6 linked regions of the Neurospora crassa OR74A genome follow. The protein of the gene in region 2 binds, or shares a complex with, the protein of the main gene of each other region. Links are inferred from orthologs where the notes say so. Each region holds a gene or a part of one and is shown on either strand. Other genes may lie near its edges.

Region 1 (3,756 bases), on a different chromosome or scaffold from region 2:
GTCGTCGACGGTCTTCTCGATATGCATTGAGGGTGGAAAGGCTCGATGAGATGTGGTTTTTACTGTCAAGAAGGAGAGAGAGAAAGAGAAAAAAAACAGAAAAGAGAAAAAAGAAGAGAGTTGTGACTGGGGGAGCGTGCGAAGAGAGAGGTCGACAATGGCAACAATGAAATGGAGTTCCGTGGGCAGCAGAAGTTAAAATAAAATGGAGCCCGGACTCTGCACCTGCAGTGAATTAGGATGGGCCTGGACCGGGTTTGTGACCTTGGGTATTACCTATGCACAATTTAGTACCCCTAGGGACTGGAATGCACTAGCCGGGCAGGGGGCCGCGTCCGCCTCACCCAAATATCCCGCCATTGAGCCAACCACGATAAAGAGAAAAGCGTTCACATCATGCGTCACGGTCTGGGCAGGCCGGGCAGGCCGGGCAGGCGAGCAACTGAAAGGGCGGAAAGACCAGCTGGATTGGTCTGGTGAACTTAAAGGAAAAGGAGGAATTGGCGGGCGTTCCATGTCCCAGGAGGAATTGGCGAGAGCACGTGAAAATCGGGTGAGAGACATCAGACATACGTCTCACCCGCATTAAAGGGAATGCACCATCGGCCATTTTCCAGGCTTTTTCCACACTAGCTTTCAACCTGAAAAAAGCCCCATGTTGCTCTCCATGTCCAGAAATGAACCTCCAATACCACACGGCAGGTGTCATGTGTGTATAGGTAGTGTAGTGTACCAAGGCCGCTGGATGCCGACCCCGATCTTCAGTTTTGACAAGTCTGGGGAATCCGAACAGCCGGGGCTCGATTGGCGGTCATTAAACCGCATTGATCGACGGGCTGGGAAGGGGGAACTGGCCGCACCGTTTGTGATCGCGCTTCCATGTCACCTCGGACCAAACCTACCGTGTGCGAAGTGGGTATTAACGAATGTTGACACCAACAAGGAATCTATCACATATCACATGAAACTTTGAAATTTCAAGTACCTCTTTGAATGATCGGTGAAAGCTTCATGGCGATTCGTTGGTTCACCTTAAGACGAGGTGCCCGTGGTGCTAGGACCGAGATGAGCGCATTCAGGTGGGACAGCTTGTTGAGGGTTAGGGTCGAAGATGCGCCGGAAATTTTAGTGGAGCTCCCGCAACAGCAACGGCGCCAGCATTGTAAACTTCCCTGTGATTGCATCACCTGCTATTTCACGACAGCAAGCAAAACATCGAGCCCTCACATCAAACGGTCCTTTAGCAACCACAAGCCGGACTCGAATCACCTGGCTTTACTCGCGTTCAAGTGTCCAGAAGATTTAGCAAACGAACAAACACCGAAAGTTTAGCACTATGCATCCGGCGCGTAGAGCCTACGTGGAGGAGGCCGAGCCTGAGGTAAGACCATGCTCTATATGCGCCCCTCGCATCATTGAAGGCACCTGCTCAACATTGCAAACAGAGCCCGGACTGACCCCCCCTGAAGCAGGATCGCGGAGGCATGGATCTAGACTCCGTCCGTAAGTCCCCAAAACTCTTGTATGGCTTCCAACCCATGACTGATTTGCGTGTTAGCCCTCGATCGCGACTACGACATCCCCGGTGCTGGGGCTGGTATTGCCCCAGAGAAGGCCTCCGTTCTTCTATCGCAGTTTGAACGAAAACGATTAGCGGCTTCGATTGCTGTTCCTACCGACGATGGCCGGGTACGAGCCAAATTGCGAGAGATGGGCGAGCCTGTCACCCTCTTCGGCGAGGGTCCGGCAGACAGACGCGACAGATTACGAGAACTCATGACACAACAAGCCGAAAAGGGAGGTCAGGAAAGTGCCGATGTGGAGATGCGGGACGCCGAAAACGAGGAAGATGAAGCCGGCGACCAAGAGGAGGAATTTTACACTACTGGAAGCCCGGAACTGCTCCAGGCCCGCATCGACATCGCTCACTACTCAATCCCGAGAGCTAAGAAGCGCATCGAGTTCCAGAAGAAGGAGTCCACCATCCCACTGCGGACACATGTCAAACACCGAAAAGAGATCAAGGAGAAGCTTCAAGGGTTTGAATTGCAAGGCAGTCAAACGGCAGGAGAGCGGCACATCAGCATGACAAGGATCTCGCCTGATGGAAACATGGTCGCAACTGGCAATTGGGGCGGACAGGTCAAACTCATCGAAATCCCAACCCTTGAGCCAAGGAAGACTTTGAGGGGCCACACCAACAAAGTCAGCGGCCTATGCTGGATGCCTGGAGCTACACTGCCGGAGCGCAATGTTTCTCCCGACACAGTCAATCTCGCTTCCGGAGGAGCGGAAGGCCAGATTCATCTCTGGTCTTTGAACCAAGACACGCCTTTGAGAACTCTCTCAGGACACTCGCAACGAGTATGTCGTGTAGAGTTCCATCCATCGGGCAAGTATCTGGCTTCTGCCTCAGAAGACACGTCATGGAGGATGTGGGATGTTGAAACCGGCACCGAGCTCCTTCTCCAGGAAGGTCACTCTCGCGGTGTATACGCTGTCAGTTATAACAGTGACGGATCGCTACTCGCTAGCGCGGGTTTGGACAGTATCGGAAGAATCTGGGATCTGCGGACAGGACGGACTGCCATGATTCTAGATGGGCATCAGGACGGCCATATCAAGCCTATTTATGGTTTGGACTGGGGCTCGGACGGTTACAGGGTGCTCACGGCGTCTGCTGATGGTTGGATCAAATGCTGGGACGTTAGAAAAGTGGAAAGAATTGGAGGCATTGGTGCCCATACAAGTGCAGTGGCCGACGTGCGGTGGTTCAAGGGGTTGGATGACCCGTTGGAAGGAGTGCCTCCTGGCGAAGATGAAAAGGGAATGCAAATTCCCAAAAAATCCGGCACCTTTATGGTGTCGGCAGGCTTTGACCACAAGGTGAACATATTTTCCGCTGACGACTGGGCCTTGGTTCAGTCTCTCAGCGGCCACACAGGGCCTGTTGCGAGTGTTGACGTTAGCCGGGATGGAAAATGGATTGTAAGCGGTGGCCATGACCGGACGGTCAAACTTTGGGGAAGAAACGACTCCAGGAGCTTGTATGATTCCTGAGCAGACATCAATCATGTGCGCGACAAGAATCTTGTCGTTGCCTCTCGCATAGGAGCAACACACCAAGGAGGGCGTTCAGCAAGCGACAGGCCAGGGCTTGGCTTACCGCTCCACGAGAGACAGTATCGGCAGATAGATTGCATAGAAGCCGTCTCAATTTGTAGATCAACAACCACAACTGGGTGCCCATAACAAGCTGCCTTTGGTACATGCGTCTGAGTTGCCTTGTGGTTGCGTTTCACTGACCCGGTAAGGATAAGGGGTGTCACCTGACCGCGAAAGTGGGCCTGTTGAGATTCCTTCTCCCTTCTTTTCTGCAGTGACGCGGGCAGGGTTGGGCGGGACACCTGCCGCTCGCGTTGGTTGGCGTTGGTAAAGTCACCCTGGCACCCTGGGAAATGGTGACGCACGGTCCATCGTGCGAAGCTTGGCTTTCTGATAAAGGGCGATAAAACAATGGCAGCAGACGCCATCACCGGGAACTTGTAGCGTTGGTCCGTTTTCGAACCTTTGACTTCTTCGTTTCTCGCATTTCTGCATTTTCAAGTGGTTTTATCCCCAGCCGGTATTTATCGCGAGAGACGTCATTCACAATACCCTCAACTCACAGCATCCGGGCAGCTCAAGTCCCCATGCGCATCAACCCGCTCAAAGCTGTCTGAAGGGCGACACGGGGAGGATTCGCTTATTTGGGAA
Region 2 (3,008 bases):
GACAAGGTGATTTTGCGGCCTTCCGTGACCTCTTCGGGAAGTACTCGTAGGAAGTCCAAGATGCAGGCGTGGCTGGATACATCATCTCCGAGGGCGCTGACGACGGTCTGCAATACATCCTTCCAGGACTGCATCTGGATGGCTAGGATGGCCAGACACACGCATAGTTGGACTCGGACGGGCTTGGGGCCACTGGCGAACTTCTTGAGGAGGACTAGGATCTGGTTGCGAAGAGCAGCATGTTCACTTTCGGGAATTTGCGTTGCGAGGTCGTAGGTAATCTGAGAATCGTGAATGTCAGCGGTGCGCGACATACAAGCGTAGCGGTATCGTCGTGATCCAATGGGTATCTGTAAGTACCTTGCCCTTCAGTGTCGTTGCTGCGAAGAGTTGCGCCTCGGCTTCGGGAGAGCCCTGCAAGATCGATATTGTGGTAGTCCAGGCCTCGTTCTACGGTCGATTGAGAAATGCGGGTTAGTCACATGCGAACCATAGGTGTGTTGGCGTCGAAGGAGCTGAAAGCCCAACTGACCGACTTCTGAAACTTTTGCAGGTAGTCCATGGCGGCCTTCTTGGAACCGGAGTCACCACTCCGCATCGTCAGCATGGCCTGCAGGACATTTGGGGTGGTGAAGCCGTCTGTGGCGCCGTTGGAAGCCATGTTGGGCAGCTTCGGATTGTGTATGATGTGATTTAGCTCGAATACAAGTGTTGTGATGGCAAGTGTTGCGATGCGGTGTTGCAAGTGGAAGCTATCGCTGGGGTATCGCAGGTCGCAAAGTGGATGGATCAGCCCCTCCTATTCGACAGGAGTGTTGTCCGACTTATCGGTCTTGCGACGCGATGGAAGCTTTCAGGATATGTTGTTGTAAAGGCGAGGAGCTGCGATGCGCACGGGGTATATGAAGCTCCAGAGAGGTTGCAAGAATAAAGGACTGGGAGGTATTGTACGGTGCCGCCGTGGTGACAGGATTGCTGCAAGTTGGAGGTTGCCGGCGACGATTTGCTCTTGAGCGTCCAAAGAAACGACGATTGAAAAACATCCCGCCAACAATCGAAGAACGTCAGGCTGCCTGACACCGACCGACCGCGAGTGGAGTAAACGGCGGCGGGCAAGCGGGTCAAAGAAAGTGGAAGCACATCCTGCACCGCCATAAGTGGGACAAGCGGGAGGGGCTCATGCTACCCCAAACTGAAGATTCTGTGGCTTGAGAACCCAAGCAGCTCGGAAAAAGTGAATTGAGCTGAATGCCAAGAGGTTATGACACGACGCTGTGGGCCCAGCAGCATGTAACTAAGTGCACAGACCAGCTGAGCAGCTCCCGTCCCGTCCCCGGCGGGAGGTGCTTGTGAAAACAAGAGCTCCACACGCCAGAGACAGACAGGCAGGCAATTCGACATTCGGGGGAAATTCATTGAAGTCACGTCCCGGCCGTAGAGAGAACGCGTCTGGGAACAACTGCAAGCCAAGCCCAGCCGACCAACAACGACCATCCACAACTTGATTGCGACTTACTTGTTCAGCCTCCACATCACCATCAAACTTCTGTCCTAAACACCGGCCAAACGACCAAACCACAACAAACTTTTATTCTCAACATGACCGGCAGAGGTGGTGGCGGCAACCGCCGTGTTCTTCTTCCTCCCATCAACTTCCTCTTCCGTCTTTTGCAACAACACTCGACCGTCCAAATCTGGCTGTACGAGCAGCTTCACATTCGCATCATCGGCACCATTCGTGTAGGATTCTCCATCGTGACCTCCCCGAAGAGCAAACATAGGTGCTGACAATTCCGTCTTACAGGGCTTCGACGAGTTCATGAACCTGGTGGTGAGTAGCGGCGCATGTCCCACTAGCACTACGAGACCTAACCCCATTTCCACAGATCGACAATGCGATTGAGGTCAAGCTGGTCTCCAAGACAAACGAGACGGAGGAGAGGAGGGAGCTTGGGGTAAGAATATGTTTAGGGCTGGACGTCGATGTTGTTGTGGCAGTGGAAAGGGTGGCTAACTGGGTCGCAGCAAATCCTCCTGAAGGGCGACAATGTCTCGCTCATCCAGAGCTACTCCGGGTGAAGAGCTCCAAACCTGAAGGAGAAGCGGTAATCGACGATGCAATTTACGCTGGGACCTACATCGAGCGACGAGCCAGCAGATCTAAAGCTGTACATAGACGGCCCACAAAGATGTGGTGCGTGGCCTTCTACACAACAAACGACACCGAATCTACGAAAGAGATACCAGGGAAAAGCGATTGGCCGAGGCGCACAGGAATGTCGACTATATGTATTTGATCAAAGGAAGGCAGTACGGGATGGATATCAGGTCATGGAACTATTTGGGTGCAGGAGGGCTCTTAATCTCGCCATTTCCGAGTATCAGGCCGTCCAGAGGTTGATCGTGGCGACCAACAGGTACCGACCCCTCGGATGGAGAGGATAGAAACTGCTCAGACAGCGCTAAGCCATAAAGCAATACAGGGGTTTCCTGCTTCCCCAGCTCGACAGACTTTTGGTTGTGCCGGTTGATGAAGTAGTCGTAGAAGCCTTTGCCGTGTCCGAGCCGTCTGATGGCCCCAGCTTCCGGGTCAATGTCGAAGGCCACGCCGGGCATGAGGATCAAGTCAAGCAGGGTTTGGTCGGAGTGGTGGGCGTCGGGACCTCCAAACACCCTCTGCCGCTCATGGACCGTGGCCGGGTCGATGCTGGGAATGCCCCATCTGTCTGGCTTGAGGGACTCATAGTCGTGAAGATCTCTGAGGCGGACCATGTCCATGACGCGGGCTGGGAGGTTGGGCGAGGCCAGAGGGTTCTTGTGAAGATACGGGATGAAAACCTCCTTGCCGGACTCTAGAGCGTGCCTGACGATGCCATCGGTCTGGATCTCGCCCGTGGGCATGGACAGGAACACGCTGACCCGTTTGGCGTCTACGTAGGGCTTGAAGTTCCTCAGAGTGTTGAAGACCACAGAACCTGCAATTGCGGATTTAGTCTGCGCTGGCAGTA
Region 3 (3,576 bases), on a different chromosome or scaffold from region 2:
TCAAGCTCTACACCCAACTAGCCAACGCCCACCCGCGCGCCGTCCTCACCGACCTGATCGACCGCTACCTGGACCCGCGCGAATCCGCCCTGGCGACCGTCGACGCCCGCCTCCGCTTCGGCGAGGCCCTACTCCAAGTCGTCGACCGACTGGGCCAGACCTTCACCGGCGACCTAGCCAAGATGACATGCGAAGCCCTGATCAGCCTGGCATCGCGCCGGGGGCATCGGCCCAAGACCATGGCGCGCCAAGCGCGCGAGGCTAAGGCGCGGGAACAGAAGCATAAAGAAGCCGAAGACGCGTGGGACGGCAGCGTGCCGGATATGGCGGATCCGATTTCTGCTGAGGAGCAGGCTAGGCTTGATATCTTGGAGGCGATTGTAGAAGGGTGGTCGTCTGGTACTTCCAAAACGGGTGAAGAGGATGTAAGGATCCGTGCCTCTGCGTTGTCAATTCTGGCGAATTGCATCGAGACGAATATTGTTGGTGTCGCGGCGGTGTTGACGATGGCGAGCGTGGATCTGTGCATTAATGTTGTGCAGGTAGAGCGGCAGCTGGAGAAGGGGATACTCAGGAGGGCGGCGGTGAGGCTGATTATGAGCTTTATCAAGGCCATGGACGAGGCGAAGCACGAGGGGAGGGTGTTGGGGATTGCGTTTGGGAGTGAGACGCAGGAGCAGCTGAGGACGATTTTGGGGTATGTGGAGCAGACGGACGAGGATGGGTTGGTCAGGGAGTATTGTCGGGATGTGCTGGAGAGCTTGGAGAATTGGAAGACGAATAGCTTGGTGGATGAAGTGTCGTTGAGCCAGGCAAGAGGAGGAGGGTTCGGTGGTGGTGGGTTAACGAAGCTGGCTGGGTTGGTTGTCGACCCGGAGAGGTCGGTTTCCCATGGTGGTGATGATAGTGGTGGAAGTAGTGGCGGTGTTGAGATGTTCGGCGGTAGACCTAGGATTGAGGAGATTGAGTAAAATATCTTCACCCAGTATGGGACTTTATTAATTCAAAATGACTTCCTGTCAGGTCCTGAACAGTCCCCTTCCATTTCGTTTCAAAACATCGGCGTCTTCGAGGGTCTTGACCTGAAGGTGTAAGTGGGCATCGGAAATAATCAGGGAGAGATGTCACCAGGTAAACTTGAGTGAAGAAGTGAAAGAATACACTAAGCTATGTACCTGAGTAATGATAAGCAAAAGGATCGCCATAAAGGTCTTGGTGATGCTCATCATCGTCGCTGTCAACAACATCAAGTATCCTCTAGCCACCAACCCTAACCCTGTAATCTACTAATCAGACAGGCTTATTGCCACGTCCAATCAGCTATCGCGTTAGGGCTCCACATGTCCCTCGTAACAGAGGAACTTCCATCGTCGCGCTACTCCAACGCCGCAAAGGTCCAGCATTGGAGGCACAGTCCCAGTTGGAGCTTCTTCCATCATAGCATCAACGCCAATCCCATCTCTCTTCCCAACTTTTCATAACCATAACCTCGACCTTGTTGCGTCCACCCGACCACAACCCACTCTTACACATCTAAGAAAACCGACAAATACAAAATTCCATTAGCACCAAGCCGAATCGCGAATCCAACTTTCGAGCCGTCCCATCGACGACAACAACAACAACAACAACAGCAAGCCTGTGAATACACACACAAGGCGCCACGCACTTGACCAAGAACCAACCCTTCGAACCGAAACCGACAACATGTCTTTTGTCCCAGTTAACCCCCGTCCCTTCCTTCAAGATCTCGTCAACAGCTTTGTGACGATCCGCTTGAAGTGGGGAGAGACGGAGTATGTTGGCCGTCTTGTTGTACGTATATATATACATATCCAGCATCTTTCTTCCAATCTAGCCTTCCCTTTGCCGCTGGACTTTGGTCTTGGCATACACAGCTGTGGGAAGCGATGGGGAGGGGAGGGGAGGGGGAAACCAGCAGGCAGGACCAAGGAGCAACGAAGGAAGAACAAAGAGAGAGAGGCTGACGAAATGCGTGTGTGCATGTGAACAACAGAGCATCGATAGCTACATGAACATTCAGCTCAGCGACACAAAGGAGTACATCAACCGCAAGTTTACGGGCGCCTTGGGGCAGGTTCTGATCAGGTACGTCCATACTGAATACATCCCACTGCTACGGCTTTCCATACGGACGACCCAATCCCCCATCTCGTATCAACTAGCCGGGATGCTGACATTATGGACTTCAACAATAGGTGTAACAACGTTCTCTACATCAAGAAGGCCGACGAGGCGGAAACAAGTGGCGACGTCAAGATGGAAGAGTGAAAGTTCTCTCGCCACCAGGAGGAGGAAATGAAAGGGTAGCCTAGACTAGCGGGCAGGGTGGTGAAGGGCGCGATTTGCAGAACAGACAGGAGGAATGTGTGAGGAGGGAGGGTCGTGATGTTCCGACTATAATACCCTGGGAGGAAAAAAGAAGAAGAAGAAGAGATGGATCTACTCTACCGACCAAACCAAACCGAGCCGAACCGAAGCACAAACCACAACGCACCCGCTCGCCGAAAACTCGTTTCCCAATGATGAAAGTGTGCGCTTCACGAAAGGTGCGACAACAGCTTTGATGATATCGGGCGCGCATGGTGTGGAGAGTGGTACGGAAGGGCGGATTTGCTTCAAGAGAGAGTGAACGGTGGATGGATGGATGGATGGGTACCGAGCGTCTCTCTGTCTGGTAGAGACCTTCGTTGCATCTCCTGCGCAAGACCGTCAAAGGAGCATGTGCCATCTGGCCTTTCCTTGAAGATAAAGGCTAAAATAAGATGTTGGAACAATACTCAGCTTAACAGGAAAGAAAGAAACAAAAATCTGTCAAGACCACACATCATCTAGGTACTGAGCAAAGAAAAGGAAGTGGCGGGTTGAGTTAGACATGCGGACATGGCGTCTGGTTTCCAGGTATTATTTCAACTGAAAGAAAAAGAGAACGAGCGGCGTGAATTTCTGTTAGTCTCAACTTCCACTTGCCTATACATCACACGACTACAGGCAAAGACAGTCACCATCATCATACACATCGCGCGCCTTCCCAATTATGAACATTCTATCCACCATTTGACTTCGAATCTTTTATTCTTTCGCTAAAACAAGACTTTTGACCTTTTCCTCGCAGCGTTTGTTACAGCTGCATACTTACACACTCCTAACACCCGACCTAGCCAGCCTTGCCCACCACCTACTGGTACCTAGTTACCTCCGTTTTTACATTTCCTCTCTTCTAACCAAAAATGCAGGCAACCTTACGACTGCTATGCATCTCAGAAGCGCCAACCTTGATACGGGTCTTGGGACCCACCCAAGCATACACTTCAACCATCCACTCGTACCACACCCTGGTGTCGTCGGTCTGGCGCCACATGCTGACTTCTAGCTCGGTGTCCTGAGGGAAGTAGAGGGGTTGCTATGTATCGTCGAAGAAACAGGGTCAGTAATCGTCACCAAAGCAGGAGCGAGGAGCGAAAAGTCAAGAAAAACAAGAAATGAAGGAAGAAGAGATAAAAACTCACCCTAAGAGGGAAGAAAATCGGGAACCAGGAAATCATGTCCTTGCTC
Region 4 (3,299 bases), on a different chromosome or scaffold from region 2:
CAAAGGCCAAATTATACAACTAGAATAGGTCAGTAGTTGAAGAGCAACCGTGTCTTGTGATCTGGTATCCATGGCCCTGTCCTCTCGGCGGGTGACCAGCTCTTCGGCCCTACGGGCTTTGTCTGGTTGGGCTGCACATCCTCATCCGTCCCCTGCCTTCTGTCCCTCGTCATTTATAAAGGTTGTGAGGCCGTGACTAACCCTCTCTTCGACTGTAGTCATCCACTACGAACCATTGACTTTACTGCGAGTTTGTCTCTTCGTTTGTCCGCATCGCTTCCACGGCGCATCGTCCTGAACACGAATCGACAACAAGAATTTTCCTCTACACGACATACCTTCACGGTCAAACTTTTCAACGCCGACATAGCGCCAGCCTAATCTTCCCAATGACATCCTTCGTTACAAATCTCTGGGAGTCGATCTTCACTCCGGGGCCGACTCCCACCCTCCTTATCGCGACAAATGTCACATTTGCCGCTCTGCAAATTGTCCTGGCGTGCCTCCTCTTTGCGACATGGAGTATCCACTTCGTAATTCTCTCGGCTCTCTGCGGTGGACTCTGGGGATCCATCAACTGGTTCGCGGCGGAACTGAAGGTGCACCAAATCCAAGAAGAGGAAAAGGCGAGAAGAGCCAAAGAAGCAGCGCCAACTCCAGTCACATCGGAAGACAGCGAAACAGAAGTAGAGGCAGCTACATCGACAGCTAGCCTCACGAGGCAGGAGTCAATTGCAGAGGCGGTCAGCCATGAGGTTGAGCCTATCCAGCAGATTGGAGAACTGAAGCACAGAGTGGTTGAGGAGACACCGAGCCTGGGCACTAAGAGCGGCGTCAGCACGGAAGATGAGTGGGAGAAGGTTTCGGAGAACGAGAACGAAAAGGACAAGTGAATATCCTGGCGATTGAGCGGGGACCGACCACACGCAGAACGTACAAGCGAATGTCGTGTTAGCGAAGTTACCATGGCATCCTGTAAATAGTGTCATGGTCCGCTTTCGTGTTGGAGTTGAGCGACGATGGCATTTACACATCCACCCTGTTTTCGTTCTTCATTGGATGAAAGGAGAGGCAGTTGAAGGCTGTAAGCCCTATGTTCGTTTCATAGTCCTTATCCTGCCATGAGGCATCATGATCTGTGCAACTACAGCTATAGCTTCAGAGACAAAGTCATAGTAAACAACACCTTGTTGTTCGGCGTGGCAGTTAGCCAGCCCATCTTCGTGTACCCCAATTATCTGGTTGCTTCAACTCAGCACATGAACAGATCATGTGCAGGGCAGGCAATTTATGGATAGCTTGAAACCCATGACTTCCAGGGTTAGGGGCTTTCAAGCCGCCGTTTGCCTGTTCAGCTCGGCTCACGTGATTGAGCACGGGCTCTATCTTGGCGCGTAGCGACGGCAGGCTATCTGCTCCACCCTGACGCTTGGATGGTTGTGCAAGCGTCCAAGGAAGCTCGACAAGCCTTCTCCCGTCGCGACTGTTGATTGACAAAGTAACAAGCTGGTAATCGAGACCTTGTCACCACCAATTCCATACAACACATATTCGATTACGCGTTGTCCAAATAAGTCAAGATGAAGCTGGTCAGGTAAGATTTCTCCTTGCTTTCTGATACTTCGCTACATGTACCCGATACCCCATCCCACCCGACTTCATTCCTATTCTCTTGCACGACGCATGCTGAGCTTTGAGTCCTCGCCTTCAAGGCTGCCAGCCCGTGTTCGCGCGCGTCCATGCTGCTCTACTAGAAAAAGAACACCAAGGGCACCAGGCTGACGAAGTGGAATCCGTTACTTCAACACTGCAGATTTTTGATGAAATGCGCCAACGAGACGGTGACGATTGAGTTGAAGAACGGCACAATTGTACACGGCACTATCGCCTCGGTCACACCCCGCATGGACACTGCGCTTCGCAACGTCAAGATGACCCCCAAGGGCCAGGACGCTGTGGCTCTAGATGCCATGAACATTAGGTAAATCAACCCTTTCAACTAAGGGGGAGTGGCCCTTTTCAGTTTTCGAGGGCATCACTAACTATTGAAACCCTACAGGGGCTCGACCATCCGTTACTTCATACTCCCCGATTCTTTGCCGCTCGATACATTGCTAGTTGATGATTCCGTGAAGCCCAAGAACAAGGCGAGAAAGGAAGCGGACCGCAGCGCCGGCGGCAGAGGTGGCCGTGGTGGCCGTGGCAGAGGAAGGGGAATGGGTCGCGGCCGCGGTCGTGGCCGTGGCTAAGCGGATCTCGTTTCTTTGGGATCGGCCACGGCGTACGTCTCCCTGGACGACAGAAACGTGCGAATTAGATTTTTTTTCAAAGACGATACGATGCTATACTACGGTTAATGGTGGATTTTTTTCGGTTTTTTATGCCCCCTTCGGTCGACCGGCTTGACCGTCTTGGTAGGGAAGATCAAGGCCGGCCCGAAATAACGTCCGGTGGCGACGACACGACAAAATCGACGATGAGTGCGCTTCAGAAAATCGAGGAGCATATCCCAGATCTTCACTTGAGCGACACTCGAGATTCACCTCATTCGCATCGAGTGTTACACACATAAACACCACTCCCCCTCATCGGATCGGAGCAGAGGGCAAGCATTGGGATTTCGTTGCGGCGTTCTGGACAGGATAAAATCACTTTGCTAGCGGGAAGGGAGAGAGAGAAAGGCGCGCCCAACCGCCACCGGAATGAACTATTTTATGTATCACAAAACAGATAGACGGCGATATATGCCTACTGGAGAAGGCGGCACAATCAGCAACTCTCTATACCAAATTTCCCCCAGAATTTTCGAGCCTTGTACGTGACTGACCATCGTCCTTCCCCCTCTTCCACCCTCTTCAACAGCTTCCTCCCCATCCTCAACTCATCACCAGCATCTCATCCCTCCATTCACCTCCAAACCCTCACAATCTGCAACTTCTCCCAACCCGCCTGCCTCCCACTAGTCCCCACCGTCTCTGCCTTCCACTTCCCTTCACCACCCATCACCCTGATCCTCCCTTTGACCTCCTCCGGCTTATTCTGCGCACAAAGCAGAATATACGCCACCCCCCTCTCGCTCAACACCCCCGGCAAGGCCTCAATCAGTCTATCCGTCGTCTCCATCCCATCCCTCCCTCCAGCATACGTCAACTCCAAGAGATGTGAGTCTTCCTCAAACGTCGTTTTCTCCTTCAGTGCCTGCAACCCTGTCGGTGGCGGCGCAGGCAAGTCAGGCGTAGGGACGTAGGGCGGGTTGAAGACTAGGACATCTACCGATCCGGGACGAAAGGGGGAGACGA
Region 5 (4,259 bases), on a different chromosome or scaffold from region 2:
TCGCGATCCAGCAACAGCGCCTTCTCGAACCAGTTCTGCGCCCGGTCCAGCTTCCTTTCCGCCCACAGAATTCTCGCGGCCGTGACCAGCAGGATCGGATCGTCTTCCACCTTTTTCACCGCCTCGGCAAGCAGCGATTTCCGCTGCGTGCGCGGCTCGAGGTTGAGGATCCTTTCCGCCCACAGCAAGCCCGATTTGGGCATCTGCTGTAACGCTTGCGCCATGAGCGACTTGGCCTGGTTCAAGTTGCCCGCGCGCCGCTCGACGCGGATGAGTTCCGTCCATAGCTCCGGGGACTTGGGCACGGCTTGTCGGGCGCGGTCGAGGACCGAGCGCGCCTTGACGACATTGTTGGCCTTTTCTTCTAAACGAGAGTACAGAAGCCAGAGCGGGATGGACGAAGGGACGGCGCGCACGCCGGTGCTGTAGGCTTCCCGCGCAGGACCAAGTTGGCCGAGGTCTTCGTAGATTTGGCCCTTCATCATCCAGAGTTTGGGCTTGGAAGGGAAGAGCTGTAGGGCCTGTTGGACGAGATCCAAAGCGGCCTCGTTGACGCCTTGTTGACGCTCAAACGCCACGGAGCGCATCCACACGCGATCGGTGGGCGCATTCTGGCGCGCGGTCTTGAGGAGTTCGCGGGCTTTGTCGATGAAACCGTTGTCGGCTTCGAGCTTGACGGCCGCCAGCCAGATGTCCTCGCTGTCCGGGTTCTGCTTGAAGGCGCGGGCAAGGACGAGGCGTGCCTCGTCGACGCCCGCCTCGGCGGCTTTCTCGCGCGCGAGCATGAGCCAGAAGACTTCGTAGTGCGGACAGGCCTCGACGGCCTTTTCGAGCGCGTGCCAGAGGTCTTCCTTGCTGCCGTGGTTGCGCTCCAGGTCGATGGCGGCCGTGTAGAGCGATTTGCTGTTGGGGAAGACGCGGATGGCGTAGGCGTAGATGGCGCGCGCTGTGGCGAACTTGTCCCGGTTGATGGAGGCGCGCGCGTCTTCCATCCAGAGCTCCTTGCGGTCATCGTCCTCGTCGAGACCCCAGCCAAGCGTCTCTTCGATGATGTTGCTGCAAGTGATGACGGCGCCTTCCTCTTCGCACTTTTCTGCTTCGGCGATCCATTCCTCGCGCTTGGGCATGGCGTTCTGCTTGGCGAGGAACTTGACGGCGTTCTTCATCACGGGCCGCTTCTTGCCTTCGCCTAGTTGTTCTTCCAGGCGAGCGGCGGCGATCCAGAGTTCGTGCGAGTTGGGAAGCTTCTTGACGGCCTTGTTGAGAACCTTGCGGGCGTTTTCGGGAGTCTCGAGACGGGCCAGTGCCAACCAGAGGTCGAGCGACTCCGGGATAAGCTCCGTCGCCTTGGCTAGTAGAATGCGGGCGTCTTCGACGTCCTCCTCGAGGTTGACAGCCTCCTTCCATAGCGCCTCGGACTCTTGGTTATGATCGAGAGCTCTCCGGATAACCTTCTTCTTTGATCTAGGGTCGTTTTCCAGCTTCATCGCTTCCACCCAAAGCTTGACCGAGTGTGGGTTGGCTTGAATAGCCTGTGCCGCAATGACCTTGGCGTTCCGGTTGTCGTTCAAATGAATGTTTTCCAGCCAAATATCCTCGCTCTTCGGGCAGTGTTCGCAGCCCTTGGCAATCAAGCTGCGGGCAGCACCAGGCTTTCCCGCCGCGATTTCCAATCTCGCTGCAGCAATCCAACTGGCTGCCTGTTTGGGGTTCGAGTCGACAGCCGACTTGAGCATCTTCCTGAACTGCTCAATGTCTCCAATGCTTTGTTCCGCACCCTGCATGCTCGACAGCGATGTCAGGTAGCCCTTGGGGTCGATACTCGTCGCGCTTCCCGCCGTGGCCACGCTACTCGACTGTGATTGCTGTTCCAAGCGCGCCCTCAGCACCTTGTCGCGAGCCGCACCGATCTTTGCGAAATCTGTAACTGTGCCATCCTTGTTGACCCCTTCGGTGGCGGTGCCGTCTTCTGCAACGGTGGTACCGAACTGGCCGGAATCTCGCGCGGCAGCGAGGACACTGTCGGGAACGGCGTAGAAGCGCTCCATGCGAGCCTGGCGTGCCCTCTTGGTCCTGCCGGTAAGGTCCTTGGGATCTGGTAGGTTTGCCCATTCTTCGTCGGTGACCGTCTCGAGCGCTCGTTTGAGGCCGGCGAATTGCTGTTGGATTTTGGGGTTCTTTCGTTCGTACTCTAATCGTTCGGCTTCTTCTCGTGCTTCCCTGTGAAAATGCGATTTCTTGTCGGTACTCTGCTTTTCATCTATCTTGACCGATAAACCACATGCTTGCTTGAAAGTGTTGGGGAAGGGGTAGAAGGGTGTTTTGTGAATTTATGTAGGATGTCAAGTGATGTATACGAGGTAATGACTAACCTTTGCTTCTGTCGCCGCTTCGCCATCCTGTCGTCTACCTCTTTCCATATCCGATCTGCCTCCTCGTCGTCCTTCTCGTATATGCCGCCGGCGAACAAGCCGACTTCGTTGTCGGGATCCTGATAGCGGCCATCGTCTTCATTGTCGTCGTCCTTGGCCTCGGTCAGACCTAGCTGTGCAGATCTCTTCGCGACGGCCGCCTTGATCTGGTCTTCACTAGGACCCTCGCGCGCGGGACCAAGATCGGATCGTGTAGTGAAACCCGTGGCACCACGACCGAGACCGGCGACGTAGTTCTCGGGTGCGGGTTGACTGAGGAAATCCCGTCTAGACATGGTGGCGGTTTTCTGTATTCGTGATGTATTGTAGAGACGCGGTGGCTAGGATTGTGACCGTGGTGGCCGTAGAGGTAGCTCCAAACATTTGAGTTAGCGGCAAAATACCGGCAGGCTGCAAGTCGAAGTGGAAGTCGAACTCCAGGGCACTGAAGCCTGCCTGCCACTGGTCCAGGCGCTCTTGGCATTTGACGAACGAATGGCAGGCACAGTGCCAAGTAAACAGTCTACGACTCCACCAGTGCTTGGCGGCTTAATTCCACTTTCGTTGTTTACTTCCTCCTATCATTCATCTACCTCCTTTCCCGTCTTCACCATCACCAGTCAGCGGAGCCATGATGGCCATAGAAGACAACTATGACGATATTTCAGCGCTCCTGCCGTCGGCAACTGAAATGGCCTGGCTCAGTGAGGCGTGAAGTGGGACAACTTCACCCAGATGCTCGTCTGCTCTTCGTGTTGCAGCATCACTAAGGGAAATGCATTATTCATCTATGGCAATGCCTGCGATCAGCCTAGCCAACAATGTCCAACTTCAACCTCCCATTTAAATTCTTTCTGTGCAGGTGCGGCAACTACAGCATTTATGCCTCGCACCATTCAACCTTCACGGTCAGGTTAACCGCAAAGGCGGCACCATGCAAGGCGAATATACTCCCTCACCGAGACTTCGTAACACAGGTTTTCCTGTTTACAATAAACATGCTGTACAACGGCACACGATGACTGAGCCTATGCCTTTTTATTCTGCAATGAATTTAGGCTGGGTTTAGCTCCTTGCCGGCCGTCTACCTAGGTATATTTATTCAGTACCACGTCCCTGATTGAGTATACAGCGGGATCCGAGTTCGCACAACTTGAACGTCTGTACACAAGGTGCTTCCAATCTGCATACACTGTCTCAAAGCACTCATGGCGACTGAAGGAAAGCTACTCCAGCGCCGCCCACTCGAACCACCAATGTGCAATTTCGAGACCCTCCTGTTGACTAAATCTCATAAGTATGGGCATCTAGCTCGCTTCTTCACCCTTTACTACCACTCACATATTCGGTCCAGACCTTCTTGCTCGTCCATCACAGGAGAGCTTGATGTGATAGTCATGGAGCCGCTGATCAAAAACCCGATGTCTTCTCATATCAAACACTCATCAAATGACTCCGCAGGTAAGATCTCTTGGAAACCAGGCGGCTTCAGACGTTTTCCCTGGTTTGGGATAATTCCGCTGATCTTTTGTATAAGCTGTGAGTACTCGTTCCTACGTTCACCACAACACTGAGGCTGTGACCAAGTACCGACAATGCTAACTGCAAGGACTAGGTACAGGAATTGCTATAGGAGTCGTTCTCGAGAGCGATGGTGGTTCGGAAAAGAACTGGTCCGGGCTCAGACAACCCGGTGTTTTGTTGGCGTACACATCGACTCTTGCAAACGCGTTGATGGGGCTTGCCTTTGCCCAAGCGGCCGTGATATTCTTCTGGGTCCAAGCAACAACGCCGCTACCAGTTGAGTTCCGGCATCTCTCGGCTGTCAGTCAGTATGATATATCAATT
Region 6 (3,794 bases), on a different chromosome or scaffold from region 2:
AATTACCGGAACTGATGGAGTGACCAGACCAGAGATCTTCCACTCGGAACTGAGATGTCATGTAGCGTCCAGCGCTAGAAGTTGGCAGACACCTCCTGGAGAGTGGTGAGACGTCCAATCAGGGCAAAGACGAGGACATGATGGTGGGAGGTGGGATGCAACCGGAGCTGCCGTCGAGCTTGTCAAAGCTTGCTAGTACCGCACCATCACCACACGATCCAGCTCACACAGCGAGATAACAAAGAAGGTGGAGAGAAAAGACCGAGAACTCGGAGCAACCAAGACGGAGGAGCAGACGCACACAGATCATGGTCTCTCGATGCACATGCATGCAGCCTATAACAGCCAGTGCTATGGAAGATCAGTCCACGCCAAACCCACCTGCCGCAGCTCGAGGTTGAGACGGTTAGTTGCCTCGCCCATTCAGCGGTGCCGGGGCGGTTCGTGGGGTTTGATCATAGGGTTTGGGCATCAAGCTGACAACACAGCAATTGGCCGGCGGCCCACTTGGCCAGCCCGTCACTGCGTTTTGAAAATGGGACAAGGCCAGATGGCCCCTTACTCGCTGGACTACGTAGCCGTGCAAGCCGTGGTCGTGGCCGACAGGGAGCGAGGATGGAGGCATGTATGTAGTAGCATGATGCAGAAGGACCCGGGTACGGCATCTCTCGGGGCGCGAGGAAGTCTGGAGAACGTCGAGGGGCGTTTTCTGTCCTGTATCACGTCCCGTCCTTGGCTGATAGGCAATGGCTAGACGAGGCCGTCGAGAATGTGGGAGTTGCTCGTCAACGGTTGGCTGGTGGTATGGGGCAAAGCGGGAGGGGAGTGACTGTCCAATATTCGGGGACAAGGGTGAATTGAGAACCGAAGGACCTCACATAATTCAGCGTATAGAACATCGAAGAAGGCCTCATTGAGAAAAAGGTTGGGGATGCTGTGTTCAATGCGTTGGACAATCCCATCCCCGTGACGGCCGCCATCATGCGACGACTCGGAACATGAGCCAGGAAAGTTGAGCGATAACGGCGTTCGGGGTGCTGAACCAGACAGTTCATACTTTGATTGAGTACAAGCGTATGACAGCAGGCCGGTAAATTCCACTTACTGCCAATGGGTTGAAGAAAGAAGGTTTATGTCAGTGACGATGACGAGGTTTTGGATGACCGAAGACCACCAGTTCACTGAATGTGGGGACAGCGCAGAAGAGGCGTGTGGGGAAGCCTCCACACTTCCTTGTAGTGTAGGACCTCAATGCGCGGTACGTACCGTGAGATCTGGCAGCTGTCTTGCAGCTGACAAGATCAACTAAGCTCTCCGACGAAATTCCCAGCAGCACCGGGCTGACAGGGCTGCCGCGTTCACGTCAAAGGCAACTGATCGCATCCACTATCATCGCGAACCAAGTCGCCTGTACTTACGGCATACCATCTAGGTAATCTCTAAAACCAACACCAAGAAAGATCAGTTCGCCCCTCCACATCGCCAACCAACCTCACCACGTAATAACACAGCCGCCAACATGACTTCCACAATTGGTATCCCCATCAAGCTCCTCAATGAGGCTCAGGTAAGTAAACACCATTGCTATGCACAGACTGTAGTGCTGCCAAAAGCTAACCAACCACTCCTGTCCCACAGGGCCATATCGTCACTCTCGAGATCACCTCCGGCCAGACCTACCGTGGCAAGCTTATCGAAGGTACTGCTAACCCCCATGAACTCTTCATTCCCATTCACTCCTCTAAACTGGCCAGCCATGCTAACCAATGCGCTCCCCCGCAAAACAGCCGAGGACAACATGAACGTCCAACTCAAGGACATCACCGTCACAGCCCGCGACGGGCGCGTCAGCCATCTCGAACAAGTCTACATCCGCGGCAGTCATGTGCGATTCTTTATTGTGCCGGATATGTTGAGGTACGTTCAAACCAGGCCACCACCAACTCATCCGTTGCGATTCTTCTCCCCAGTTGCCCCCTACCTACCCAATAAGTCGGATAGGACCCAAGCTAATCATTTCCTCCTCCTCTTTTTTTTGTGTTCCCATACAGAAACGCCCCCATGTTCCGCTCCCGCAACGTCCGCGGCCGCGGTGTCGGTCTCGCCCGCGGTCGTGCGACAGTCAGTAGGGCGCGCGCCGGTGGTCGTGGCGGCGCCAGATAGAAGACAGCGAGCGCCGCCTGTCGTCAGACTCATCGACCAAGACCAGACCCAGACCGAGAATCATTGAAAATTTCACAACGGAATGCAATATTGGGGCACAATAATCGGCATATTATGGCTCCTTTTTTTTTTCCGCGCGCAACGACAACCGCTATTTTGATATTTTAGGCGTTTTGGGTGGGGGGAACCAATAAAGCAAACTTTGATCTTCTTTCTACCGAAAATGGGGGGCAGCGAGTTGGATGGAAAGAGAAAAGTGTGGGGGGCAAGCTTTGGATGCCCAGAGAAGGAGGAACAGGAGGGATAGGGAGGAGGGTGGCTCAAGGCCGGCCAGAGATGAGAAGGGACTGGAGTGAGTGCTGGGGCTGGGATTGGAGGGTTGAGAGCCTCGATGAGGAGTGATATGGAGGACGCCAGCTGGCCCCGCTCATCCATCTGCTGCCAAATGATGATCATGGGAGAAGCGTGGCGTATCCAGGGGTTTTCACGCTCCGCCAGCTGGACGATAATGGTCGGTCGATGCAACAGCCGCTACCCGTCCGTCAGCACGCAACGAAAACCTGGCTTCATCACGGTTAGCAGCCAGAGCGAACCAGGTGTTCAGCCAGCCTCAGGTCTCCCCCCAGTTGAGTCCTTGGCCAAGGAGCGAGCACATACAGCATGGATCGAATCGCACCGAAAGCGAAACTCCTACTAGCCCTGGTTCTGATATAGACAGGGTACGTATTCAACGTCTTTGTCTATTATGTTGTTGTACACACAACCCATTCCATCTTCAGCCTACGCTGACAGTTTTTGATATCTACCACAAAAGTCCGATGCCCCCTTTTTACTCCCACTTCGGCTTGCTTTTTTAATGGTACATAAGAGTGTAGCCCTGGTTGATCTGTTGCGTCCGCCGGTTCTAACCCGCCTGTCCCTATATGTGAGGCTCGCATAAGACGAGCTTGCAACAATGCTCTGAGTGAGAGTGAATCGTGTAGACTAAATATACAACTGGCTGTTTAAGGGTTGAGTTGGAGAGGGCATATTGTCAAAACACCCACCTAAGGGACTAACAGGCAGGGCGAGAGGGCTGTGGAAAATAATAAGCACAAGAAGTCCGAAACTGACCAAGTTCGGTTTGCAGAATGTCCTTCTAAACATCTGTTGCAACCCATCATTTCTACTTCAGCCTCGCAAGCGCTTCCTCGGCCCGCTTGAGGACACTCTTGGCCTCCTTCAGCTCCTCAATCTCAACCGCCACATCCTCGGGAACTTCAGGAGAAACGCTATCCAGCACCTCGGCAATGCTGGCTTCGGTTGCGCGAATAGCCTTGCGTCCTTCCTCACGAACCTCGCCCTCCCAGAAATCTCTCGCCCTCTCCCACCTTTTCTGCAAGCCCCTCAAACTCAAAACAATACCCAAGGCGGCGACGGCTCCACACTCATATATTCCGAATCCAGAGAGCCAGGACATGCCGCCGAGTGCCGTGGTGGCTCCCGCTAATGTTGATGACTGTAGCACGAGCTTCTGCGCCAGTGCTTGCAGGGCCGGAACAGTTTCCGCTAGTAGATAGTTTCTTGTGAAGGGGATATGCGCAGGCCAATTTCCCTTGGTCTCTGATTCCGTAGTAGCAGCAGTAGTAGCA

What was found.
Region 1: NCU06354 (region 2) and NCU11251 share a complex: the UniProt entries of both Saccharomyces cerevisiae proteins name them as parts of the U4/U6-U5 tri-snRNP complex. The link is inferred for Neurospora crassa OR74A from reciprocal best matches to the Saccharomyces cerevisiae genes SME1 and PRP4.
Region 3: NCU06354 (region 2) and NCU01614 share a complex: the UniProt entries of both Saccharomyces cerevisiae proteins name them as parts of the sm core complex. The link is inferred for Neurospora crassa OR74A from reciprocal best matches to the Saccharomyces cerevisiae genes SME1 and SMX3.
Region 4: NCU06354 (region 2) and NCU00505 share a complex: the UniProt entries of both Saccharomyces cerevisiae proteins name them as parts of the sm core complex. The link is inferred for Neurospora crassa OR74A from reciprocal best matches to the Saccharomyces cerevisiae genes SME1 and SMD1.
Region 5: NCU06354 (region 2) and NCU04606 share a complex: the UniProt entries of both Saccharomyces cerevisiae proteins name them as parts of the U4/U6-U5 tri-snRNP complex. The link is inferred for Neurospora crassa OR74A from reciprocal best matches to the Saccharomyces cerevisiae genes SME1 and PRP6.
Region 6: NCU06354 (region 2) and NCU03625 share a complex: the UniProt entries of both Saccharomyces cerevisiae proteins name them as parts of the sm core complex. The link is inferred for Neurospora crassa OR74A from reciprocal best matches to the Saccharomyces cerevisiae genes SME1 and SMD3.

What each region holds. Positions count from the first base shown.
Region 1 is NC_026501.1:4,871,908-4,875,663, reverse strand, and holds NCU11251 (pre-mRNA splicing factor), read left to right. Parts: upstream 1-1,179; 5' UTR 1,180-1,336; coding exon 1,337-1,381; intron 1,382-1,445; exon of another isoform or gene 1,446-1,469; coding exon 1,470-1,503; intron 1,504-1,558; coding exon 1,559-3,060; 3' UTR 3,061-3,256; downstream 3,257-3,756. UniProt on the Saccharomyces cerevisiae protein: Involved in RNA splicing. Is required for the association of U4/U6 snRNP with U5 snRNP in an early step of spliceosome assembly.
Region 2 is NC_026504.1:2,807,020-2,810,027, forward strand, and holds NCU06354 (small nuclear ribonucleoprotein E), read left to right. Parts: upstream 1-1,430; 5' UTR 1,431-1,599; coding exon 1,600-1,740; intron 1,741-1,804; coding exon 1,805-1,831; intron 1,832-1,886; coding exon 1,887-1,955; intron 1,956-2,025; coding exon 2,026-2,079; 3' UTR 2,080-2,337; downstream 2,338-3,008. Other genes in the region: NCU06355 (karyopherin), read right to left, coding at 1-281, 361-450, 533-661; NCU06353 (hypothetical protein), read right to left, coding at 2,338-2,975. UniProt on the Saccharomyces cerevisiae protein: Involved in pre-mRNA splicing. Binds and is required for the stability of snRNA U1, U2, U4 and U5 which contain a highly conserved structural motif called the Sm binding site. Involved in cap modification.
Region 3 is NC_026502.1:2,951,576-2,955,151, forward strand, and holds NCU01614 (hypothetical protein), read left to right. Parts: upstream 1-1,396; 5' UTR 1,397-1,707; coding exon 1,708-1,815; intron 1,816-2,017; coding exon 2,018-2,109; intron 2,110-2,219; coding exon 2,220-2,292; 3' UTR 2,293-3,076; downstream 3,077-3,576. Other genes in the region: NCU01615 (hypothetical protein), read left to right, coding at 1-971; pp-2 (protein arginine N-methyltransferase HSL7), read right to left, coding at 3,242-3,424, 3,531-3,576. UniProt on the Saccharomyces cerevisiae protein: Plays a role in pre-mRNA splicing as a core component of the spliceosomal U1, U2, U4 and U5 small nuclear ribonucleoproteins (snRNPs), the building blocks of the spliceosome.
Region 4 is NC_026501.1:8,193,054-8,196,352, forward strand, and holds NCU00505 (small nuclear ribonucleoprotein Sm D1), read left to right. Parts: upstream 1-1,453; 5' UTR 1,454-1,580; coding exon 1,581-1,594; intron 1,595-1,712; exon of another isoform or gene 1,713-1,813; coding exon 1,814-1,981; intron 1,982-2,059; coding exon 2,060-2,249; 3' UTR 2,250-2,799; downstream 2,800-3,299. Other genes in the region: pkr1 (ER membrane protein), read left to right, coding at 390-893; NCU00504 (hypothetical protein), read right to left, coding at 2,908-3,299. UniProt on the Saccharomyces cerevisiae protein: lays a role in pre-mRNA splicing as a core component of the spliceosomal U1, U2, U4 and U5 small nuclear ribonucleoproteins (snRNPs), the building blocks of the spliceosome. Also binds telomerase RNA and is required for its accumulation.
Region 5 is NC_026505.1:1,527,808-1,532,066, reverse strand, and holds the start of NCU04606 (pre-mRNA splicing factor), read right to left. Parts: upstream 2,801-4,259; 5' UTR 2,708-2,800; coding exon 2,373-2,707; intron 2,261-2,372; exon of another isoform or gene 2,221-2,260; coding exon 1-2,220. UniProt on the Saccharomyces cerevisiae protein: Participates in pre-mRNA splicing. Part of the U4/U5/U6 tri-snRNP complex, one of the building blocks of the spliceosome.
Region 6 is NC_026505.1:1,887,150-1,890,943, reverse strand, and holds NCU03625 (small nuclear ribonucleoprotein Sm D3), read left to right. Parts: upstream 1-1,335; 5' UTR 1,336-1,519; coding exon 1,520-1,567; intron 1,568-1,638; coding exon 1,639-1,699; intron 1,700-1,787; coding exon 1,788-1,917; intron 1,918-2,051; coding exon 2,052-2,163; 3' UTR 2,164-3,294; downstream 3,295-3,794. Other genes in the region: NCU03624 (hypothetical protein), read right to left, coding at 3,329-3,794. UniProt on the Saccharomyces cerevisiae protein: Plays a role in pre-mRNA splicing as a core component of the spliceosomal U1, U2, U4 and U5 small nuclear ribonucleoproteins (snRNPs), the building blocks of the spliceosome. Also binds telomerase RNA and is required for its accumulation.